2 linked regions of the Styela clava genome follow. The protein of the gene in region 2 binds, or shares a complex with, the protein of the main gene of each other region. Links are inferred from orthologs where the notes say so. Each region holds a gene or a part of one and is shown on either strand. Other genes may lie near its edges. The genes, in order: cytosolic iron-sulfur assembly component 2A-like and putative cytosolic iron-sulfur protein assembly protein CIAO1.

Region 1 (12,316 bases), about 3.2 Mb from region 2:
CTATTGTCATCTCAAACTATAATGCACATCAGAAAGCAAGTTAATATCAGTTTGTTAACCTAATAATTTATGATTTCTTTAGGAGTCGTAGCCACATTTTTACTCTACACAAAACTCTGCTGATATGCTATTTTTGAAAAATTGCTGCCCAAGTTAGTGTTAGCGATGGGGTTGATCTAAGATCTTTACCTATGGTGCCAGAATTCAGTTCTCAAACTTTTAGTGTTATGGAGCCTGCGAAGAGGTTGACTATTATTTACGAAGTCCGGCACTAAAATTTATGAAAATTATCTATTGGCCTTGTTGCCCCATTTAGACACTACCATTGTCAAACATCTATCTTGTCCACAAATTTACAATTTTGTATTTATACAGATCTTCGGACGAAGAGGAAAGACTGAAATTTGCCTCGGTATGCATGACTGGAGACACTATTTTGAACAGTGGGGAGGGGGCTTTTCAGAGATGTGTCAATAAAAACACAAAGTTGACAAATCACAATCGATTAACCACTTCTGGTGATTCTAACCATAATGTTAAGCCTAAGAAGAAAAAAAGGAAGAAATCAGAAGTAACTACATGACAGTCATGAACTTGCTGACAAATAAAAAGGTCAATAGTACTGGTACTATTAGCAGAAACTGAGAAAGCACACAAGCTCTGTATCCATCTGTCATGAATTGTTATATGTCCAGCCGACATTTGAAAAAAAGGGAGTCTGCTGGAAATGACAATGGAATAAGGGCTCATCGTGCTGGATTCTGTTTAAAATTTTTGTCAGTCAACCCATATTCAAAGAAATAATACTGAGACAATCGGTGGTGTGGTGCATGGTGCTAAGCCCGCCACTGCACCTCTGATTACCCTGCGTGGGTTCGCTTTTCGTGGATCGCATATACTCCTTGTCGCAGTGAGGTGGTTCATTCCTCCACCATCAAGTTCATGCATCTGGAAGAAATAACTGGCCAACTAATCCCATACCCAACATGGACTAGAGGCCGTTGTTCGCCATTCGTCTTATTGACTTTCCTCTCTCACAGGGTAATCAATATGTAAATCCCATTCTAAATATTTGTTAAAAGAAGGATGTCTGGCATTTTGCTGATAATGTAATTGAGACTGAACAAGAAGATTATGGGCATCAGTAATATTGGTAATTTTTCGTTCACTCCTTGCAAAATATTTTGATAAACTAAGATCGGATTATAAGCATAACTTGCTAATTGCTCCTCATTGTTAAAGTTAAAGTTTCATTCCAACCCGAGTGACTGTGGCACCATAGTTAAGTTATTACCAATTTCACGGATACACTTTTTAATTATAAATAAATCATATCAAGTCCCGCTACGATGGTAGGGAAAGATTTCAGATCAAATTATATGGTATATGTTTATTAAAACTAAATTCATATCACAGAAAACAAGATAATAGGTAGAATTAAAAATTTATGACAGTAACTCTTTGCGCAGATCCTAGATTAATCGAATATGAAGAAACACTCTTTTGTTAAGGTGTGGAACAGTTCCCAATCAACATATATACACGCTGGTGGCAAGAAGAAAATTTGAAGATCAGTTAAGATGTTGATAACAAATAAATGTGTATAGGTTGAATTGGATCCCACAAGTTTACCTTCAAAACTCTGAACGAGCTTGGACTTCTAGGTTAAGACACTTTTCTGAAGGGCACGGACAACATATGCCTTTAAAAAACTTTTGCAAAGGTTATTCCTTGTTAGATGAATAGCTGTTTAACAACCCTGTATATGATTGAAGTTTTAGCATTCAAAGACATTTTCGGATGCCTGCTAAGGGTTCTTGAAGTCAAGGCTTATGGGCGTGTCATATTGGTTTTTGTAATCCTAAAAAATAATAAAATTGGAAGTGCAACTGAACTGGCCCCCAGAATTGTGAACAATAGTTATATGGAGAGATGGACGCTTCAGAAGTGTGTGTACCAATATGGAGGGAACTAATTTTGTTCTCATATTATACAACAAGTTGTGTAAAGGGACTGAAACCTATGGGCAAAGGGGATATTCACTTGGCTAACACAGGCAGTCGCCGAACACGTAATAGAACTAAAATAAAGAAAAATCAGAATAAAATTATGGCCTAATCCTAACCTAATACACACTGTGGGAGTACCACTGAATTTAATACAAGAATTAGATTTTGAAATATCAGATATTCTGATTTTTTTGAAAAATAATTGATTTATAATTTAAATACTGCATTTATTCAATTACGCCAACATGACCACTGTCAGTTGTCACATGAAGTTCAGAGTGTTGTACGACCAACGTACGTGTCAGTCAGGTTCTTGGATGCATTTTTCAACAACTTTCTTGATATTTGGATTTTCCATTGCAGCACTGGTTCTTTCTTTATCATTGATTTGTTTATTGACTGAAAATAAGAAATTTATGAATTGGATGATAATTCACAACGCTATAGTAAGCCGAGAAATTCTCAAGGAAATTTGATCAGAGCCTGGTCACTCAGAACATATCATCCAATCCAGGGAGAGGTTCTCAAACTTTTAGTGTTTTGGATCCTGTTGATTATTATTTACGGAGCCCCTCAATATATTTATAAAAATCATCTATTGGCCTCGTTGCCTAATTTAGACGCTACCGTTATCAAGTCTTAGTAATGCTGTTATTGCTTCTTTGAACAGTTATTAACAGTTCTTCGCGGAGCTTCAGGTTTCTCTCAAAGAGCCCTTTGAGAACATATAATCTAATTCATCTACAAGCGATATATTATGAATTATCTGTTCATCCATAAAGTTTTTGTGCAAAAGTACTGCTTCCAACCTTATGAATGATTGAGAGAACAATTGATTAGAGAGAAAGTCGATAAGACCGCTTAATAATCATATGGCGAACTATGGCTTCTCATCTGGTTATTGATCCATGTCCATATGGAAATAGGTATTTGTTAATATGCATGGTCTTCATGGTGGAACCAACCAGCGGTTACGTTAACCACCTGATGTCTCAAAGAGTCCAGAAATCCTCCGGTACATAAAGATTTGCCGCAGTGTGTTTGGGGTTCTTAACTCTTAGCATAATGGGCCAACTGTTGTTCAAAAGCACTGTGTCAAATAAGCACCATGCTTCAGCTAACACAAAAGTGTGGACCCAGCAGTTAGGCAGCCTGATGTATGGTTATTACTTATCGATTTTAATCGGTAAACATGTTGATAAGTATCTGTCTGTTAGATGCACGCGATATCTCACGAAAGCGAGATTGAATCTGCTCCAGATTTTGCATGTGCATTCATATTGATTTTGGATGAATTATGTCGTATAATTAGCGAGATATTAATTAATTAATGATGGAACACCAGGTGTTACTATGGAGTAAGAGCGCTGTTTTGGGGGATCCCCTAACTTTCGATCGATAAGTCTTCGGTCTCTGACCGATATTCTCATTTGCCGTTTGTTCAAGTTGTATTAGTTACTTTTGTGCATACTGAATCGTAGCAGTAAAAGCCTCTTATTTTGGGTGCAAACATTGTGTGATGTTTCGGGGAAAGCTTAGCAAGTTAGGGAACTTTGCAGATGGGGGCGAAACACTACACATATAAGCACAGTATAAAAAATTGTACTGCTCCTCGAGAATTCACTTACTTTCGTCACGAGTGTTGTGTGTGCCTTCAGCAACATTGATAGATATTTTATGATTGGTTGGAAGATTTCTCTCTAATTTAACTCTCATGCATAGTCCAATAAGTGTAGCAAGTGAACAATGGGGAATCGTAGGTCTGCAATATTGAATATTAATGCTGTTAAGATTGTTCATTCAGGATGCTGCATCACCAGTTCAGTAAGTGTCAGGAATATGCTTGCATGCAAGGATGGTTAACTTATATGCGAGAGGATGGACTCCTCACCGTCAAAGGGCGGTTCATGTAACTACTGGTCAGTTACAGCTTACTCCACCATCAAGTCCATGCTTCCGACAACAAATAAATGGCTAAGTGATTCCATACCCGACATGGTCTGGTAACCGGACAACTGTGGGTCGCCATATGATTAAGCAGTCCTATCGACTTTCCTCTAGCCACACATAATTCTTCCTAGCTTAACATCTTATTAGAAAGAAGGTCACCATGTTTCCTGACTTATATTCTCACCTAATACACAATGAACCGTCAGAGGATCAAAAAGTGATGCAATGACAAGCTTTTTCTAAACTCTAAGCATGACGCACACCCCAGCATTAATAAGGTAAGAATCCATTTTAAACTCTGTTATGTTTTAAGGCACAGGACACAAAAAAAAACTTAAAAGTACTTCATGCCCACAGCCCCACATCATCTTGTGACATTGAATATAAGTGAAAACCAAGATGAAATTCTCACAAAACGAACGTGGAAGCATTGCGATATTACACACCAGGGCGCTCCAGAAGTGGAGGTAACTAATATTATTCGCCCATTTTATATCAAGTTGTGTAAAGGAACTGAAATCAGGGGCTTTATTTACTTGTCTAAAACAGACAGTCTCCGAACTCGTAAAAGAACTAAAATAATCGGAATAAAAATATGGCCTAACCCTAACATGGTACACACACTACTGGATTACCCACACCAGTGACATATACGCAAGGGCAGTGAAAATACAAAACAGCTATAATGAAAATGACTAACCCCAATAGCAAGAATAATACAAGAACTATACTGACTTATAATCAACTTCGACGAAGTATCGTTCTTGATCAGCATCTGTTTCTACTCTGATACCTTCTTCATACACAATATCTAAATCTTCTAAAGTTCCAGGTTTTTCAGGATCTTTTATTGTTCGCAGAAGATCTATAACAAAGGTGACAATTAGTAATCCCAGAGTTTTCATTGAAAAAGGGTTCCAATTAACATTAACTGGTGGAAAAATGGGTACTCATGTAGTATGTGAACCAAGATGGCGGACTCTGGAACGTAGTATATGTACTGGGTCAGACCATAATTTCAAGTACAAATACTGCAGGAGTCATTTGGCTAGTCCTTGAACTCGTAATAGAACTAAAATGAGGAAAATTAGAATAAAATTATGGCCTAACTCTAACCTGGTACATATACTACGTTTCGGTGTCTGCCATCTTGGTTCACATACTACGGGAGCACTGAAAAATGATGAATACAACATCGGTATACTATTTTTTTTTTTTTGAAAGAACTTTCTTAGAGTAAAGTCATGTTCACTCGTTTAGAAATAAAGAAGATTGATTTCTAAACGAATTTAACATCGACCACTAAAGGCCTGGGAACTACAAGAATAAAAAAAAATTTACTAGAATCATTGCTCGAAGCTGTAGTCAAAATTTTTTAACACATAGAATTGGCAGTCAAAATTCTTCTTAACATCGAATCGACGATTTACTTCAGCCTGGAGCTTGTAAATTTTGTCAGACCTTACAGCCCTGGCATAAACGACTAACAGTTGACATTTTTCATACCATATATTGTCCCTTTGTGTGTGTCAATGTCCAAATCCATTGTTGTATTTACAAAACTACGACACAAAAAGTGTAGCTGTTTTTTAAAGATATACAAATTATCATGAAACAAAAATATATCAAATTCATTAATGTATAATTTTACCAAACAAAAACCAATATGACAAAGGTTATTCTTTTATAACAGACAGTTATAATCTAGCAAGAATTTAAACCAATTAAGGTACCACCTATACATTATAATAAATATCTGAAAAATTCAATACAGTTTATCTTATTATTTCACATTTTATAGGTGTTGTCAAATAATGATAAAAATTGGTGAAACTAACATTAATCGTTTATGTGCACAGAAATGATACTTTAACTTTCCTTTTTCACAGTTCAGCTTTAACAAAGTCAATTTTTTTTTAATTGCTCTTGAGTCAGATTCGGAGTATATGCTCTGAGCTTATGAGAGACTACTTCCAACGTAGTGACATAAAATTTCATGAATCAGCATTTTTGCTAGTGGATGTTTCCGCACTTTCTTTTTGTTTGTTATAATAATAAAGTGCATATCCCAGGAGAGAAAAAGTCATGAAGAAAGAAGCATACTCGAAAAAATATCCATATTTAAAAACGCTTCCAAGCATGAGATGTTTTACTTCAGCATCAGCCTCTTGCTTTTTCTCAAGAGTTTTAAAAGTCAGTTGATCGGGAACATCTTTCATATTTTCAAACTTCCCAACAAAAACAAGAATCATTTTATCTACTCTTGTTAATTTTCGAACTTTTTTTTTATTTTGATGAATTTCTTTTTTTCTCTCTAAATAAATTTCACTTTCAGTCTTTCTTTTGTCTACGACTTCTTGTTCTTCAATTTCAACAACATCATTATCTCCTATTGCCGGTCGAAACACTTTTCTTGTATATGTTTTCTCCGCATAGTTGCATGCTGGTATTGACTTTGCCAGCCAGTTTTTCTGATTTAACAAATGTTTTTCGACAAAAACTAGGCGTTCTAGTAACAAAGCCCTCCTGGTTGCAGTTCGTAATAAATTCATTTCATTGCTTAATAAAAATCTGTTATGAAAACAATGGAATTTTATTTCAATCCTTGCAGCCTTGTCTATGACATGTTGCACAGAGATGTGGCAAATGAGGAGAGATAGTGATTTATTTCAAATACCCTTAAAGTAGGCTACACATTGCAATTAAAAACAATAAAACTTTGGCAGCCAAGATCGCAAGTTCGACCAACCCTTAAAAAAAGAGTAGGATTTGTAACAAGTCTGCAGGTGTGGGATATCGAATTCCCGTTTAGTCATTCACCATCACATACCAGCATACCGGTACCAAACTCAAGTGATAAAACATACAGTATCACAGAGAAGAATGTCACACAAATTTCAAATAAAACAGCTGTCCTTTATAAACATGCCTCCATGAAGACCAAATCATGTAAATAATTGATAAAAACAAAACTGATACCATTGGTTGGGTAGAATAGGATTTACATATTTATCCCGGGGGGGTCGTCTGGTTACCAGTCTAGGCGGGGTATGGGATTAGTTAACCAGTTATCTTCAAGGTAAAGGGTAAGATTTAATTAAACTATCTTATGAAAAATTTATTCTGCATTCTGACGCACTTGGGCGTCACAGTCTCCCGTAATGTACAGGTACTAGGCTACTAATTACTACAAAAACACAACCGCCAAGGTCGCTGCCTGTCAAACCGTAGTAGTATATATTCACGGTCAAACTTGCAGTTGATAAATTAGCCAGTCAGCATTGTCAAAAACAAGACTTATCACGTGATCATTCTTGCTGATTCATAACAGTGTTCGAAATTCACCCCAACAGAAACGAGCTTGTTTTTATATATCGGTAGAATGCTTGAAAAGTCTATAAACTTAAATAATAGTACTATTTCTTATAATTTTTTCGTGTGTCTTCCATGACGTCCAGCAGACTACGTCATCAAAAATTACGCCATCGCGATGTCACAATTACGTAAGTAATCTTGTGTAAGTAAAGAGGCGATCACTCGTCAATGCAAAACAAAAAGTGTACAAACAAATTCATTCGCGCATTCGAAATCTCTCTTTTCGGGATTATGTCGCAAAGCTTAAAATAAATATGAGCAAACTGGCATACATATGTGAATTTAAATAAACAGTGGCAGGGACGTAGCGTTTTGATGGACCTTTCTACCCACATGAAGGTTTGTTACTGCTGGCTAGCGCTTTCCTTTCCCCCGGGATAAACAATAAAACCGCATCCTTTCCCACTCTATAAATATAGACGGAAGAAGTATACTTGCAATGTACCATTTTTTATTATTAAGCGTTGAGGAAAGCACGGTAGGATAGGATTTACATATTTATCCCGGGGGAGAGAAAAGTCGATAAGACGGCTTAGTCATATGGCGAACCACGGCCTCTCGTCCGGTTACCAGTCCAGGTCGGGCATGGGATTAATTAGCCAGTTATTTTGTTTCGGAAGCATGTATCCGATGGTGAAGGAAGCCGTAACCGACCAGCGGTTACGTGAACCACCCTACGGCGGCGAGGAGTCCTGCAATCCTCTCGCACATGATCATCCCCGCATGTGATTCGAACCTGTGAACCCACGAAGGTAATCAGGGATGCCGGGGCGAACGTATTCCCAACGCTTAGCACGATGCGCCACACCGCCGAGCCCAGTAGACCTGTAGACACTTTTACGATTTCACTCGAAACGAAGATTAGCTGGAATGGGCTTATTAATACAAATATATAGTCTATTATAGTACCACATATAAGACAATCATTTATTTTACATCAATCGATAGGCGAGGAACAGTTGGGTCGAATTTAACTAATGCTGGGCCCTATGCAAAAGGGATTAGACGGGGCCTAGTCTAGGTAGACATGATCATAATTAAGATTTTGTACTAGAAAATGGATTCGTATTTACATCTATTACCTTTGAACTAAGTAGGCCTACTAAATCACGATTAGCTTGACGAGTCTTGCGTGTACAGAATAAACATGCTGACCCGTATGTGATTATATAATAATAATAGCTTAATTAAATTTAATAACTCTCTCACAGACTTTGCGCGGTGCCCGCGTAAGTTGCGTGGTCTAAAACCGTCGCTGAGGAATAGTACCATTCTCATTCGTCAAGCGTTCCATATTTTCGCCTCGATGAAGGCCGTAGACAAGCAGGTGCGGGCCTATTGAATTATACACGGCAAAAGGGTGTAGTATAGTACTACACTTACATTTTTGCTTTTGTCCAATACGCGAAAATAGTACCAAACTTGTGTCATAAAGTGTTGTGGTTTTTTTTTCAGAACAATGCTCCGGGCAGGCAGTTGCGGGTTTAATTAAATATCTATACCGATAGGCGTAACATTGGGCCTACACCATCGGATGTTATAAGTTTTACACACAATACACTACAGCATTAAGGCAATAAAGTAGGCGAGATTGATGATGGGTTGGTACATTTCACTGAAAACGCGGTTTGTTACTAACCGATAGGGCTAATTAATTAATTTAAAATGATTGAACAGTGAAAAATCTCAATTATACTTCTTATTGGCGCGGCGGTGTGGCTCAACGGGCTAAGCGTTAGGAATACGCTCGCCACCGCACCTCTAATTACTCGCAGGTTCGAATCCCATGCAGGGATGGTTATGTGCGAGAGGATTGCTGGACTCCTCGCCGTCGTTGGGTGGTTCACGTAACCGCTGGTCGGTTACGGCTTCCTCCACCACCAAGTCCATGCTTCCGAAAACAAACAATACAGTAAAAACTAATCCCATACCCGACTTGGAATGGTAACCGGACGAGAGGCCGTGGTTCGCCATATGGATAAGCCGTCTTATCGGCTTTCCTCTCCCCCGGGATAAATATGTAAATCCTATCCTATTTTTAATTAGATATTGATTAATATGTTTACCATTATGTAAGGTGTAAGCCATGCTTCAACCCTGCCGAGGCTTACGAGGCTCGAGGTTGGAAGATAATGAACTAGTTGTATTACTAGATTTAGGGAGACGGATATTTGGTGCTCCCGATCCCGAAGTATGTGAACCAAGATGACGGACATCGGAACGTAGTATGTGTACCAGGTTAAGGTCAGGCCAGAATTTTATTCCAATTTTCCTTATTTCAGTTATATTACGAGATCGGGGACTAGCCAAGTGACTCCCGTAGTATGTGTACCTGAAATTATTTTCTAACCCTAACCTGATACACATACTACGTTCCGGTGTCCGCCATCTTGGTTACCATACATCGGGAGTACCAGATATTTAGCATATTTTCACAAGAGTCGAAGCCGGGGTCGTATTTTCAATCTCACTGGAGTCGGGGAGTCAAATTCTGAATTTCCCGGGGTTGCAATCGCTGCATTTGAATGATAATGAAACAACTGGAAATTAAACTCAAAACTTACAGCGTGCTAAGTTTAACATTCTATTAAAAAAGTTGTGGACGCCAATGTATCCAATGTCAAATTTCAATTTTCCGGAGTTCGGGACTTGAGTCGGAGTCAAATCTTTTTACAACACGGGGTCGAAATCTAGATTCGGAGCCTGTTCGTTTTCAACTCGAAATCGCGAGTCGGTTGCAAATTCGCGCCGGCTGCACAGCTCTGGGCAGATTAACGTTTTATAAAAATCGTTTTTATGGTGCATATTTTTTATTAATTTTTTTTATAATTCTGGTTTGGAATGAAAGAAAAAATTGTCACGCCAAGCCAACTTACATGTGCTACTATGCCTAGGGTTACCATATTTTTGTGACTTCAAATCGGGACGCCTCAAATGACAACGACCCCTTATCTGTGATTTTGTAACTTCACATTTTCCGATTTTACTACATAGGCATACATTCCTACATTTAAAGCTGTCTCGGCTGTCTTTATTGACCATTTTGTTATCGAAATTTCATGCGCATATTCTCTTTCCAAATATCGGGTTCAGTTCGAAAAATAGGAAGGAATTGACGTTAACGATACCGGTACAAATAGATCGAATTTAGACTAATTAGTATTGGTTTTACACGCGATACGTCTGCCATCAATGGGAATTAGCGGGAAACGATTGCATTCACATTCAGTAAGTAGCTAGCGCTGCGCTACACAGAAACAACAGTAACGAGAACATGTTTGTGTATTATGCTGGAAAAGCGGGACTTTTAGCTAACTTATCGGGACGGCGGGACAAAACGCTAAAAAGCGGGACTGTCCCGCCTAAAGCGGGACGTAGGGTAAGCCTAACTATGCCTTATTTTATACACGTGGCGCATCGTGCTAAGCGTCCGGAATATTTGTCAACGCACCTCTGATCACCCTACACCTGGGGTCGGCAACTAATCCGGCCCGCGACGCTTCACTGAATTATAGCGACAAAACAGCGGTTTCGACGATGAATTGATTTTATAATCTACGTTTGAGGAGTAGATTATATTCTTTACATAACAAAATTTATTGTTGGATACGTTTAGACTAAATTATATATATTATAACCTAAAAATTTAGTGAACAGCTACTCGTTTAATCAGCCTATGCGAAAAAATTCACTTCAATATTTGGAAGTACCTATGCGTGCGAACAATCATTTTCTAAAATGAACATTACAAAGAACAAGCATAGAACTAGAATTAGTGATGCCCATGTAGAAAATGTTCTAAACTTGGCTTCATTCGGTGTACCACTGATTTCAAAAAGCGTGATGCAACAACAGGACAAATTAAATGTCATTTGTAAGAGGATAAGTTGAGTTCACGAATTGTCGCAGTCTTTCCGCGCTGTTCCGTTTTTAACTTCTAAAAAATATGTGCGGTTCGCCAAGACTTGCAACCCTTAATTTTGACCCGCCAGCGACGAAAGGTTTCCGACCACCGCCCTACGCGGTTCGAATCCCGTGTTAGAGGATTGCTGGGATCCTCGTCGTTGTAGGATGATTCATGTAATCGCTGGCTGGTTACGGCTTCCTCCACCTTTAAGCCATTTACCTGAAAACAAATAACTGGCTAACTAATCCTATACCCGACATGATCTATATGTTTAAGCCGCCTAATCAGATTTTCTCTCCCCAGTAGTACGCTATATGATTAAGCTGTTTAATCGTCTTTCATCTCCCCGTGGGATAAACATGTGAATCCTATCGAACTATGCAATATATAACGTTCGCGGCGCGTCGGTGTGGCTCAACGGGCTAAGCGTTAGGAATGCGCTCGCCACCGCATCTCTAATTACTCTGCGTGGGTTCGCAGGTTCGAATCCCATGCAGAGATGGTTATGTGCGAGAGGATTGCTGGACTCCTCGCCGTCGTTGGGTGGTTCACGTAACCGCTGGTCGGTTACGGCTTCCTCCACCATCAAGTCCATGCTTCCGAAAACAAATAACTAACTAATCCCATACCCGACTTGGAATGGTGGCCGGACGAGAGGCCGTGGTTCGACATATGGATAAGCCGTCTTATCGGCTTTCCTCTCCCCCGGGATAAATGTGTAAATTCTATCCTATCCTATCCTTTATGCCACATATATGATGGATAGCATACCTTACTACAAACACATCCACATAAAAATAAAAAATAAAGATATTAAAAGTCTTATATTGAATATTGAATTACCCTACAGTCTACACCGTACCTGTTGAATTATTTTATTGGACACGTAGTGGACATAACGATCGTTTCAATATTATGTTGTTGTTGGACACGTAGTGGACATAACGATCGTTTCAATATTATGTTGTTGTTGTTCTTGTTATCCTTGTTGTTGTTCTTGTTCTTTGACACGTTTTTAAAAAGTCGCTTTTCTCTTCGAATACTGGACCAATTGCTTTGAAATTTTCAGTGGTTG
Region 2 (13,437 bases):
GTCCTCAGCACGAATACGATATCAAACCATCGTTCGGGGAAGAAATCTGAGCTGTGGTAATCAACAATGTTTCCTCCTTCACTCAGCGTGTCTTCTAGAATGTCTGGAAAACAAATTTGTGTTTTGGACACATCAGTGGGCATTACGATCATGTCAATATTAGGTTCTTGTTATTATTCTTCTCTTTCGTCATGATGAAATTGCTTTTCTCTTCGAATACTGGACCAATTGCTTTGAAATTTTCAGTGGTTAAAGACTCATTTTTTGCCAGAAGGCTATTCCTTTTACTTGTTTCAAAAATTTCTGCGGACTTTAAGAGATTCGTTTTTAGTGTGTCAGAATAAAAAATAGCGACACCTTGTGACGTGTACATATATTTGAGCACAGCTCTCTTGCTAATTTTATGATTCCTAAGCGACCTCTGACATCTAAATAGATACTATTGTTATAGACACCGGAATATTTTTCGTTCAGGAATGACTACCCAATTCATTATGGCCATGGTAAGTTAGCATCACGGGGTACTACCCATTGTCCTGTGACCCATCACCCCTGTGATGCCAAAATAGTTGGGTCCAGCGCTCTAACTTAGTGGCGCCGCGATTCATGCTAAAATCAAACCAAAATTTTTTTACCTGACAGTTGGAGTTACGTGAAACTAACTACCTACTTTACTCTATGTGGGTCCGTATGTGAATAACGCAGGAATGCTGTAGCAAGAGTGAAAATGAGAATATCGGTCAGAGACCGAAGATTTATCGATTGAAAGTTAGGGGATCTCCCAAAACAGCGCTCTTACTCAATAGTGACACCTAGTGTCCCATCACTGATTAATTAATAACTCGCTAATGATACGACATAATTCGCCTAAAATCAATAGGCTTCTGGTCCGAGATATGATAAATGAACATGCAAAATCTGGAGCAGATTCAATCTTGCTTTCGTGAGATATCGCGTGCATCTAACAGACAGACATACAGACAAATACCTATCAACATACTTACCGATTAAAATTGATAAGTAAGGATCATTCTATTTAATTTACGAGTCTTGCTGCACACTAACATAAATATAATTCTGTAACGTTTTGTCTGATTCATTGCTCCAGATCCACCAGTATGTCCCAGGCCTCAACTCTTGAGCCCTGGTCCTATGCCTATTTTTATTTAAGGTTTAAATGAGAGTTTTGAGAAAATTTTGGTACTCCTGAAGTATGCGCACCAAAATGGGTTCAGGTTGTGCACCATCTTGGTGCGCATACTTCAGGAGGTCCAAATTTTTTTTAATCATAAGCCAACTTGGGACTCACCATGCAAAATCATTCTCAAATTTGGCATAACAAATCTGAAAATCTCTGCCTTACCTATGACCCCATCTTCATCTAAGATCTGACATTCTAATTCTTCATCGTAACCCGTGTAGAGTTCATTTTCTTTCGCTATTTCACCAATGTTTATATATTTCATGTTTACACAACTTGCGAGCTCTTCTGCGAGGGTTGACTTTCCTGTACCTGGCGTGCCTGAAAGTAGTAATATTACGATTTTTAATGATAATGAAGCTTTTTTAATAAAAATTCAAATCGATCGTGACAAGCGGCTCGGCGGTGTGGCGCATCCTGCTAAGGGTTAGGAATACGCTCGCCACCGCATCTCTGATTACCCTTCGTGGGTTCGAATCCTATGCAGGGATGATCATGTGCGAGAAGATTGCTGGACTCTTCGCCGCTGCAGGATGGTTCACGTAACCGCTGGTCGGTTACGGCTTCCTTCGCCATCAAGTCCATGCTTCCGAAAACAAAATAACTGGCTAACTAATCCCATACCCGACCTGGACTGGTAACCGGACGTGGTTCACCATAGGATTAAGCCGTCTTATAGGCTTTTCTCTCCCCCGGGATAAATATGGAAACCCTATCCTATTGCAAGCGCCAACTGTCACATGATCAGATTTGCAATTTTTCAATATTGCAGAATATCAGTGTCAGTTTGCACTGATATGGAGATCCAGATAGTCTCATATAGAGGGGAATTGCACTCACTGTTATAATTGATGTCTTTCATTTAAGGGCTATTCTTGGGGTAATAGAACTGTGCCATACTGTTTTGTGTAAAAGAGCATTTCTTGAAGATGCATGGGCTTCATAATACACACAAAATAAAAATTGGAAATTCTGGAAAGCGAGAAAAACCCTTAAAAAGTTTTAGACATGAAAAATATCATGTGCCTGCTCACCCGCACAAAAAAAATCATGAAAACACAAACCTAAACATGAATAAAAAAAATATGCGAATGTATTAAACCAGGGTGGTCCAAGGTTGTCGGCTCCGCGGGTCACAATAGTGCCAAGAATAGGTAAACAGTGCAATACAAAATAAACACTTTTATTGTGCAAACACATAGTTATCAGACATAGCCATCCCAGGCTAATAGAATCCGCATTCGATTTTTAGTTTTCTATGATGACTATATTGTTAGCATATATTCCCGACCAAAAAGATAGAAATCCAGATAACAATTTAGACTGCCAAGCACATCATTCAACTTCGCTATTTGCCTCAGCCAGCCATAACACTCATTTCAGTGACATTAGTGATGAAACAATATGTCAAAAGATTTTTCTGATAAATTTGATTACGAAATAACACAAATGCGATTTATCGATTATTCTCCGAATGTGACGTGGGCCACAGATAATGAAGCGACGGGCCACATGTGGCCCGCGGGACTGGGTTTGGACCACCCTTTATTAAACATTCAGGCTGTACTTTTAAAACACTCAAGCTTATTAAAGTTCAATTTCACTATTCTAGCCACCGGAAAAACCTCGCACAGCACGTCGATTACAGACTGCCTTCTAAAAAGAATGGTGGTCTTATGTAAAAGTCGAATTACAAGCCAATTTTTTCTACATTGTGTCATGTTTCACTGAAAACCAATCATAGCCTTACGATGGTGTATGGTTGTAAAACCGCCTACAACGTTGCCGGCGGATTACAACACAGGCCCAACGTAGTTATGCTATCGACAAATCTGGGTAATGGCTAATACTACCTGATACAATATATACCTTAATTCAGCGGTTCCCAAACTAAGGGTCAAAAGGAATCTTAGTGGGTCGTGAAAAGATGTAAAAAGCTTTGATTAATTATACTGGTTATTAGGATCGGTGGCGACTCGAATACGTAAATCTTTAAAAAAAAACAAAAATAATAAATTGAATTTAAATTCTAATCTGTGACAGTTTCATTTTCACGATCTTCTCAAAGGAACAAAAATTTGCTACACAAAATCCTAGCAGTTCATTCATCAAAAATAAAATTACATTGTAGAAAATCACGAGATGGGTTGCCATAAGCTGTAGTAATAAATAGTGCGTCCCAACTCTAAGAAGTTGGGGAACCACTGCCTTAATTTGAATGTCTTGAAAGGATGGAAATATAAAATTTAATTTTCTATCTTCTCAATACTCTGTACACTGATACAGTAATACATATATCTGTTGTAAATTAAAGTAATGTCTAATTTGCCCCATCTCTCAGTGGTATTGCGATAAACCAAAGATATTTAGAGTCAAATTTAAATCTTGATTATTCGACAATATTTTTACAACGTGATGCATCAATCAATACAAAACCAAAGCGTTAATATCAGACCTGCCTACAGTTTTAATTATATATAATATATTATATAATTTATCTTAAGTTTATTGGGTTTACTTATTTCGCAATTATCTCTGTTGTTATGTGTGTGTGTGAATTAATTTAATAATTTTAGGTGAGTGAACACGTACCAGTTCTTCTTAGCCAAACCTTCCATCTTATATTCTGTACGTTTTAAACCTTATCTAAGGTTTTGTTTGCTCTCCTGATTCTATAATCGGTTTATATTTTTATTATTCATTTTAATTCCTGTTATGCAAATTATGGAGCCGAAATGACCTTATACTTATTATTTTAAAAAAATTATTTATTTTTCTGTTATTGTTCGATCAATTGATTGTTTAATTTGGTGATAATACTGGAATTAAAACAAATTAAATTAAGATAAATTGTACCTAGTAAACAAAAATAATAGTGAAAAACGAAAATACTTAAAATCGAAAACGTTATATATATAATCATCTTACCGGTTATTAAAACATTTGGAAGTTTTCTTTGGTTCATTTTGAATGTACTTCCAGCACAAAACATTCAGAAATGACGCCAATATGACGAAACTCGTAGAAACTGACCAGAACGAGTTGATCTGATGTAATTGTAAACAAATGTGACTCCACATGGAAACTCTAAAGTGACTCCTTGTGGATCAAAAATTTTTCCACACAAACCGCTAGATGACGACATTGAGTCGCATGTGAATTTCCGATTGATTACATTTCAGAAAATTGGAATGAATTTATTCAAGTTCTAATTTTTATTTTTCACCAAATTAATTGTTGGGAATACCTCAGAAATTGGGCGACCTTTTAACAATGTCATGGCATTATCCCAGTGCCACTGGCACCATAGATCACGTGAACAAAGTTGGTAAACATGACTTTTGCTTTTGTCCACTCTCAGACAATTTCGTGTTTTGCTGCTAGCTTCACAGAGGTCTCTCAGACTCTGTCTGTAGAAATCTTCAGTTTTTAGACAAATGATACATATTTTTTTTTTATTATGTTTGTTTACTATCGATGTGTAAGTCATCGAGTTCTTCTTACTTTATATTTTCTCTGTGTTTGTGTGGGCGCGTGTGCAAACTAATTCAATTATTTTAGGTGAGTGAACACATAATTTGGACGTTGTTTTGCTAGTTAGTAGGGTGGTGTAGCCAGTCTGCGGACGATTTCATTCAAACCGCGACGGCGACTAAAACAAAAACCAATATTTCCAACCCGTTAATTTTTTCACCGTAGGTGCATTGGCATTTATTCTACACGCTGAACTTCTACGACCAATTTCTAATTCTACGAATTAACTTTCTACGACCAGGGGTTAAAGCTATACAAACCACCAAAGTACGACACTCTGAAGACGTTTTTGCGACCGAACGACCAGTGTGCGATCACGAATTTCAAGCCTTGAACATCGTTTCTGCTGCGTCGAGACTAGGGCATACGCAGCCATGCGTGAAAAAATGGGCTTCTAATTGCATTTCTGACCGTCATATATTTTAAGAACACAGTTATTTCAAACAAAATTCTTCAAATTATAAACAAAGCGCCGCATCACAGCAATCAAACAGACAAAAACACGGTGGTCGCAAATTTGTTGACAAAGATATTATTGACGTATTGGAAATGCGCACCCCCCTACTCCCCCTCCTTTGAATGTAGAAACGCGAAACTTTAAAGATGGTTAAAAGAAACACAACTCTTCCCACCTGCCAAGTTTCATCTCTTTATCTCTTATATTTGTATGGATTTTTAAGCTTTTCCGAAGGAACAATGGGTAGTTGGCGACATGGTAAAATGGTCCGTTTTTTTTCTTCGGTCAGGTTTTCAGTCGTAACTTTTTTATTTGTGGTCGCATTTTAGTGTAATTTTGCAGAGCTACGAGGGATAAGTGGACGATAACGTGTGAGAAATATCGTCGCGGTTCGTTAATTTTTTCGGCATTCGTTTAATCGATGAAGTTGATGGTCGCAGATAGGTCGTGGCCGCAAAGTGGGTAAGCCACCCTACTTCTAATTGTTGAGTGAAGCAGGTCTAGCTCACCCCTTCATATATCCAACTTGGCAATTCTGATTGGGCAATTTGGCATTAGGTGACTCCAATTATAATCAGATTGACGATATCTTTCAAGGAATACTTTTCTATCCACAGTTGATTAGTCTTGTTGACTAATTCGATATCCAATTCGGCAATCTTCATAAAACTATTAATTTGGTGTGGCAAATGAGTTTACTCATTTTTTTCCTTTGTTTGTATATTTTTCTTTTTACTTTTAATTGATATTTGAGTAATTTAATTGATTTTAAGTCTCGCTTTTTCCACTTCCGACGTTATCATGTTTCAATGATTGTAGGTGCGTGCCTTAATTAATTTTTTTACTTTTGGGTGAGCGAACGCATACTACTTCCTTTATCAATACCTTTCCATCTAAAATCTGTACGTCTATGTAAAATCTAGCTAATCATGTAAAAACTTTTAACTACAAATTATTGTGGAATATTTTACCGCTTAAACCAATGTCAAGAATTAGATATATTGCTGGAGATGACCTATGTGTATTTTGGGACAAAGAAGCTGAATTTATAACACATTTATTCTGGAATTGCTCATTTGTGAAACAATTGTATGATTATGTTTTTTCTATTATTATGAAAATAACTAACAGTGGCAACTTAATAAATTATGAAACATGTACATTATTAGATTTAAGACACAATAATTATATACATTTGACCAATATAGAAAAAAATGCTATTATTTTATTGATATGTACTGCAAGATATAAAATTTGGTTGCAAAGAAATGCAGTGATTTTTGAAAATGTAATGCCAAGAGTGAATAATGTAGTCAATACTATAAGAAATTCAATAAGGTGTAGGAGAAATATAGAACGACTGAGAAATTTACCTAATTATTGTGAAGAACTTGATTTATTATGCAAATATATATAAAATATAACTAGAAGTGTTTATTGTAATGAAGTGGAACTAATTCTTGAAATTTAAAAAAAATAAATAAATCTGTACGTTTTAAACCTTACTCAAGGTTTTGTTCGCTTTCCCGATTCTATAATCAATTAATTTTATCTCTTGTTTTATTGTCTAATGCTGATTATGGAGTTGAAATAAACTTATACTTATTATACATACTGACATACCGTGCGGTACCACTTCTTCTTGGCAAAACCTTCCATCTTATATTCTGTATGTTTTAAACCTTATCTAAGGTTTTATTTGCTCTCCTGATTTCATAATCAGTTTTTTATTTATTTGTTTCTATCAATCATTTTATTGCCTGGTATGCTGATTACTGGATTATGTAGTCGAAATAAAATCATACTCATTATGTTTTGTTTACTTTAAATGTACATATTCTAAGTAATCTTCTGGTGCACTTGACCGAAAATGAGTGGCATTGACATGTTCATTGTTGGAATTCAACAACTGTTATACTTATCCTCCTAATTCAGTAATCTTTTCAGTATATCACAAAATAATATCATTCTAGGATTGCGGAAAGTTTATATCTCTCCCATTGCCATTTTTTTCTATCGCAAACCGAGTAATTAGCAGACGTAGAAAAACAAGTATAGTTTGCCTGACGAATATGTTTTTTGAAAGCCATACTTTATACTTTAAATTTACATAGTTTATGTCTTCATTTAATATTATTTTTTTTATCATTTAATAATATATTATAAATCAGCCCTATAATGTCTATCCGACAAATTGCAACGTTAACGGGACATGGTGATAGAGTATGGGGTGTTCACTGGAATCACACAGGAAAGCATTTGGCGTCTTGCAGCGGCGACAAAAGCGTGCGAATTTGGGGGCTGGAGGGTGAAAAATGGGTCTGCAAAACGATTCTCGAAGAAGGCCACCAGCGTGCAATACGAAGGGTTGCTTGGTCCCCTTGTGGGAACCGTTTAGCGACCGCAAGTTTTGATGCAACAGTTTGTATTTGGGATAAAAAATCAGGGGAATTTGAATGTATTGCAACACTTGAAGGACATGAAAATGAAGTCAAAGCTGCAGCCTGGTCCATTTCAGGGTCATATCTGGCAACATGTTCTCGGGATAAATCAGTCTGGGTTTGGGAAACCTATGATGAGGATGATTTTGAATGTGCAGGGGTCGTGACCTCTCATACCCAGGATGTAAAAGAAGTAGTATGGCATCCTAATGAAGATATTTTTGCTTCGGGTAGCTATGACGATACAGTGCGGATTTTTGAGGAGGATGACGGGGAGTGGGTTACTGGTGCAGTGTTAGAAGGTCATGACTCCACCGTGTGGTCAATTTCTTGGGATAAATCCGGCGATCGATTAGCAACAGTCTCAGATGATAAAACTTTAAAGATATGGAAACGCTATAAATCTGGCAACCCTCAAAATATTGTGACAGGGAGTTCAAAGTATTCATGGAAATGTATTTGCACTCTTTCTGGATTTCACGAAAGAACGATATTTTCCGTTGACTGGTGTCATCAAACGGGACTCATCGCTACAGCGTGTGCCGATGATGCTATTCGAATCTTTAAAGAAGATGAGAAAAGCTCTTCTGATGAACCGACTTTCAATCTGTTGTGTTCGTATAATCACTCTCACGCGCAAGATGTAAACTGCGTGTCCTGGAATCCCGCTCAGCCGGGAATCCTCGCTTCAGCGAGTGATGACTGTGAAGTTAAAATTTGGAAAATTGATGATGTTTAATCTTTTTATGAATTTTAATTCAAAACCTAATGGGAGAGTGGAGCCGATAAGAGGGCTTAATGGGTGCTCCCGAAGTATGCGAACCAAGATGGGCGGACATCGGAACGTAACATGGGTAACAGGTTATGGTTAGGCGATGATTTTTTTCCAATTTTCCTTATTTTTATCCTATTATCAGTTCGAAGACTAGCCAAGAGCCTCCCGTAGTATTTATAGCTAAAATTATGGCCTAACCCTAACCTAGTACACATTACATTCCGATGTCCGCCATCTTGGTTCGCATACTTCGGGAGCCCCGCTTAATGATATGGCGAACTATGGCCTCTCGACCATGCAATGGTGTTCGAGATTATCAATGGCTTTTAAAACTTATCCTAAGGGGAGAGGAAATTTGATAAGATGGCTTAATCATATGGAGAACCACGGCTTCTTATCTGGTTATCAATCCATGTGATGATTTTTAGGATTCTTCATAATATTTATTACTCATCCATGTTAATGGGAGATGAAAAACGGTAACGTGGCTTGATCACACAGTATGCTGTGTTGAGGCAGCTTGACTCAATTTGAATTGGACTCGAGTTATCATTTTTTAAAGACTTGAAGTGACTTGGGGCGTTGACTTTGATGACTGTCTGGTTGTATCACTCTCTCCAAAATAATTTATTACTTATTATTATTATTTTTTTTACGATGACTGTTATATTATTTTGGTTGACGAAAAAAATAAATCTCTCCTCTCTCGTCGAAATCGGTGATTCTCAAACCGTGGCCCCTTGGGCGAAATGATTTAATATGGCCCATGCCCATCGGACCTAATTGAAATAGTCCAACACTTTATAACATATATATTTTTGCATTCTAATTACTGTCAATTGTTATGTCATTATCGCAATTTTTAATGCATGTGTATATCATAACAATTTGATTTTCATCTTTTGAAAGTACTGATCGTAATGAAGTGATTCAACAAATGGCCAGTGAGACTTAATGCAGGAATTGACTAGACTTGACTTACATTTCTAATCTGGTTTTCGTTCCGAATCCAATTTTTAAGGAGCGTTGTCCAAGGCTAAAGACAAATATGACCTATATATAATATTCACAGTTTGTCATATTGAGATCTGAGCCTTCGGCCCAGTAACCAAGTCTATTCTCTGTAACTGACCCACTCAGAAGAGTAGTTGCCCTGCCTTGAAAACCAATCTATTCTTTTATATGCTGTTCACTCTGAACAAGGCTACATTACTGCTATTTTCCCCATCTTATGTGGTCCATGGCATCTTCTGGAATTTACATGTCTGGATCTTCATGTGTTTCGTGAAACTTAGTGTAAAAACATATCAATTCAGCGACCCATACCCTATCTCCATCTTTTTACACCGGAACCTGGGATATGGACGTGCCATAAACTGACTATTGTACATATCGTCGTTGTGCCGTACCTCTTTGTCTTGTGTATTTTATTTGTATAGTAATTTCATGTCTGTTGTCCTAGTATAACGCAGCAGTCCTAAACATGCATGTCGCACATCTGTGTCTTAGGCCAGTAAGGTCTTGAACATGTATCCAATCTCTGTTTTACTCTTTAATTATTATGCAGCTACTGTTACTTTTTTGAGGCAAATAAACATACATACATACATACTTTTAGCACTCATGGCCCCCTGTCCATCATTCCAGTGGTATTTAGAGTGTAATTTTATTTGGTAGATTAGTTTGACACCTGACATTGTGGCCCAACTGTTCTGTGGCCTTCCTGGGGAGGTATGGCTTCCTGGTTGGGAACTGCTGTTATGTAGTTTGGAACGACTGGTATATTTCTGGTTTGGCCCTGGGTGAGGCGCTCATTTATAATTATTCGAATGATAATTTTTAATCATTGAGGCATATCTGGTCAGAATAAGTTCTATTCAATTTAGTAGGGTATAATTCTGTCTAATTGTTTTTGCAAATATTGAGGTGTTCAACTGTTTATTTTTCACTATTAGTCAATGAGGCAAATCTGGCCAGAATATTTGCTTCTTAATCAAAGGGCTTAAGTGCTGCCACATTTATTCATTTCAAGAATATTATTATGATCTATCAGCTTTCCCATTTAATAATTTTATTGCTTTTTTTCATTTTTAAATTCAGCGAAAATTTTGTAAATAAAATCAAAAATATAAATGGAGACGCAAAAAGGCGGGAATGGTCGCGGTTCAATAAACCCAAACTATTTGCACGGTAATGCCGTAACGTCTATGATTTCACCAATTAATAAACAAGGATATTTGGGAGATTTAGAGGAAAAATCTGAACCAGAATTGAATGAATTACTGGAAAGACAGGAAAAAATGCTGAAAAATAAGTAAGTGGTATATTTTAAATTTCTGTTTGTGGGTTTTAGGTGAAATTTTCGTGTCTAGATGTTTCAATCATACTTTTCAAGTTTCATACTTTTCGAGTCGAGTATGAATCATTTTAAAAGTGTTGCTACAAGAAGGGTCACACAAACTCACTCAGAAGTAAAGGAGCCATTGTGTAGAGAAGTGTTTCTCAACCTAGGGTCGCCTTTAAATTTTTTTTTCGGTCGCTTGTTTTTTCAACCAACTTTAATAGTCTTCATTTTCAGGTAAATTTTATTGTTGATAAGTATGTTGATAGGTATTTGTCTGTATGTCTGTCTGTTAGATGCACGCGATATTTCACGAAGGCTTGGTTGAATCTGCTCCAAATTTTGCATGTGCATTCATCATATCTCGGACCAGAAGCCTATTGATTTTGGATGAATTGTGTCGTGTATTAGCGAGTTATTAATTAATTAGTGATGGAACACACGGTGTCACTATAGAGTCATGAATCGAAACCACAGTTTCGATTGATAAGTCTTCGATCTCCGACCTATATTCTCGTTTATTACTTATCGATTTTAATCGGTACTTTAATCTTACGAAAGCGAGGTTGAATCTGCTCCAGATTTTGCATGTGGATTCATCATATCTCGGACCAGAAACCTTTTGATTTTGGATGAATTATGCTGTATAATTAGCGAGTTATTAATTAATTAGTGATGGGACACAAGGTGTCACTATGGAGTAAGATTTTTTTGGGGGGGATCCCTTAACTTTCGATCAATAAGTCTTCGGTCTCTGACCGATATTCTCGTTTTATATTTGGTATTGAAGTGTTGCTCAATAGTAGTTTTATACATGGGGAGTATCAGAGGATAAAAGCTTTGCAGCTTTTATTATGGTTTATTTAAGTAAGACCATGGCACGCTGAGGGCAAAAATATCAGTCTTTCAATTTTGCGGCCATAAAAGTATTTGTCATTTCGTATTTGAGCATATCCTTGAGTCATGAGATTTTACAAAACTCATTTTTTTTAGAAAGTTTGGTTCGCTTGAAAAAAAAAAGGTTTGAAACCTCTGATATAAAGTAAACAAAACAGGGCTTGTGAACATTTACATCCGACTGATACCCGAAGGGCTACTGTGTTCTTCGAATGACCCAAATCATTTTACTATCAAATTGTATTAGACTTATATTTATGAAAGACTTTTGATTCCTGGAACATCTTTCTTTCAGAAAATTTGTTGAAAGGCTTCCAGATAAAGGAGAGAAAATTCAAAATTTTGTAAAAACTTTAAAAGAATTATTAGAAAAAAGAGAGAAAGAAAGAGAAGAAGGCAAAGTGACAGAATCATTCAACCATCATGTTGAAGATGACCCCAACATGCCAGGTTTAGAAGAAATTCCGACGGACGATAGAAGCTCCAGAATGGAACTGGGTGAAGATACACAGTTGCCACATGTAGGTGTTGTGAGTTGGTATTGCTGCTTTTGGCACTGCTGCTTTATACTCAGTATGAACATATAATTAGTAAATGCCCACAAACATAACCAGAGTAACCCTCAAGGCACCCCAACAGTAATGCGCCCCCAAGTACAGAGAGCACATGACTACTTCATCTTCACAACTGTGATCAATCATCTGTGACTGATGACATCACAGGTCATGCTACAATGAAGGTACAGATAACTGTTTTGGCATATATTTTTGTGACATTTTTTACTCCACTGTTTCTAAACATTTAATCTGAATAAGGGGCACGATTGCTTGGCGGTTGGATGGTTAGGTCTTGCACGATGCCAGAGTACTTTGTTTATAACGAATGGCACGAATAAACGATAAGCACAGCCTTGTATTAAAGCAGGGGTGGGCAACATACGGCCCGTGGGCCGGGTCCGGCCCGCGACGAGATTTTGATCGGCCCGCTGACTGTATCCAACCACACTCTGTAATGTGGCCTGACGTATCATTCATGAAAGTTGCCGACCGCTCTACTCTCACCGCACTATCTGTGCGAGCTGGTGAAATAAACAATTGCCTTAGTGAACAAACAATTGTGTTAGCACACTTGTTGAACAAATAATACAAGGTCAAAGCAGAGAACATAGATTCTGAATATAAATAAAATTTAGATTTTATATTAAGTTTTATTAACCATGGAATATCTCAAGAAACGTAAAGTTGACAGAGAGTGTCATCGAGTGTCGTTTAATTTTCTTTCTTGCATAAGCGAATAAATATGTGATTAAGATATTGAATACTATTCGTGTTATAATCCGGCCCACCAAGGACTTCATTTTCCCCTATCTGGCCCGCCGACTAGAGAAGTTGCCCACTCCTGTATAAGAGCATTGGCGTTCGCTTGCAACTTCTCAGTTATATTCCCACTTTTAGTGAGGGCTCGAGACATTGTTTGAGTGAAAAATTTTTAACGATGATTATGCTTTTGATTTTAAAATGTCTGAAAATTTTTCTTTCTTAGGAGAAAGAATTGAAAATTATAGAAAGGGGATTCGACCAACTATCTGTGCATGAAGGGCCTCACTACCAGGTCATTGTGAAAGCAGAAGAAAAAAGCCACAAATCAAAGTTTGCATTGAACAGGTTTGTTTCCTGCTAGCGTAATAGAGAGAGAGATTTATTATTTTGTCAACAAATAACAAACCGTCATCAATACGAAAATAGATACATAACACAAATGAAATTGCTTTGGTATTGACAGGAGGGAGCG

What was found.
Region 1: putative cytosolic iron-sulfur protein assembly protein CIAO1 (region 2) and cytosolic iron-sulfur assembly component 2A-like share a complex: the UniProt entries of both Homo sapiens proteins name them as parts of the CIA complex. The link is inferred for Styela clava from reciprocal best matches to the Homo sapiens genes CIAO1 and CIAO2A.

What each region holds. Positions count from the first base shown.
Region 1 is NC_135252.1:20,976,201-20,988,516, forward strand, and holds cytosolic iron-sulfur assembly component 2A-like, read right to left. Parts: upstream 5,644-12,316; 5' UTR 5,506-5,643; coding exon 5,466-5,505; intron 4,825-5,465; coding exon 4,695-4,824; intron 3,772-4,694; coding exon 3,638-3,771; intron 2,436-3,637; exon of another isoform or gene 2,409-2,435; coding exon 2,311-2,408; 3' UTR 1,372-2,310; downstream 1-1,371. Other genes in the region: uncharacterized protein LOC120343543, read left to right, coding at 376-583; uncharacterized protein LOC144421077, read right to left, coding at 5,954-6,511. UniProt on the Homo sapiens protein: Component of the cytosolic iron-sulfur protein assembly (CIA) complex, a multiprotein complex that mediates the incorporation of iron-sulfur cluster into extramitochondrial Fe/S proteins.
Region 2 is NC_135252.1:24,216,292-24,229,728, reverse strand, and holds putative cytosolic iron-sulfur protein assembly protein CIAO1, read left to right. Parts: upstream 1-7,348; 5' UTR 7,349-7,370; coding exon 7,371-8,372; 3' UTR 8,373-10,508; downstream 10,509-13,437. Other genes in the region: adenylate kinase isoenzyme 6-like, read right to left, coding at 1-103, 1,364-1,522, 4,130-4,193; uncharacterized protein LOC120342056, read left to right, coding at 10,541-10,722, 11,942-12,167, 13,189-13,310. UniProt on the Homo sapiens protein: Key component of the cytosolic iron-sulfur protein assembly (CIA) complex, a multiprotein complex that mediates the incorporation of iron-sulfur cluster into extramitochondrial Fe/S proteins.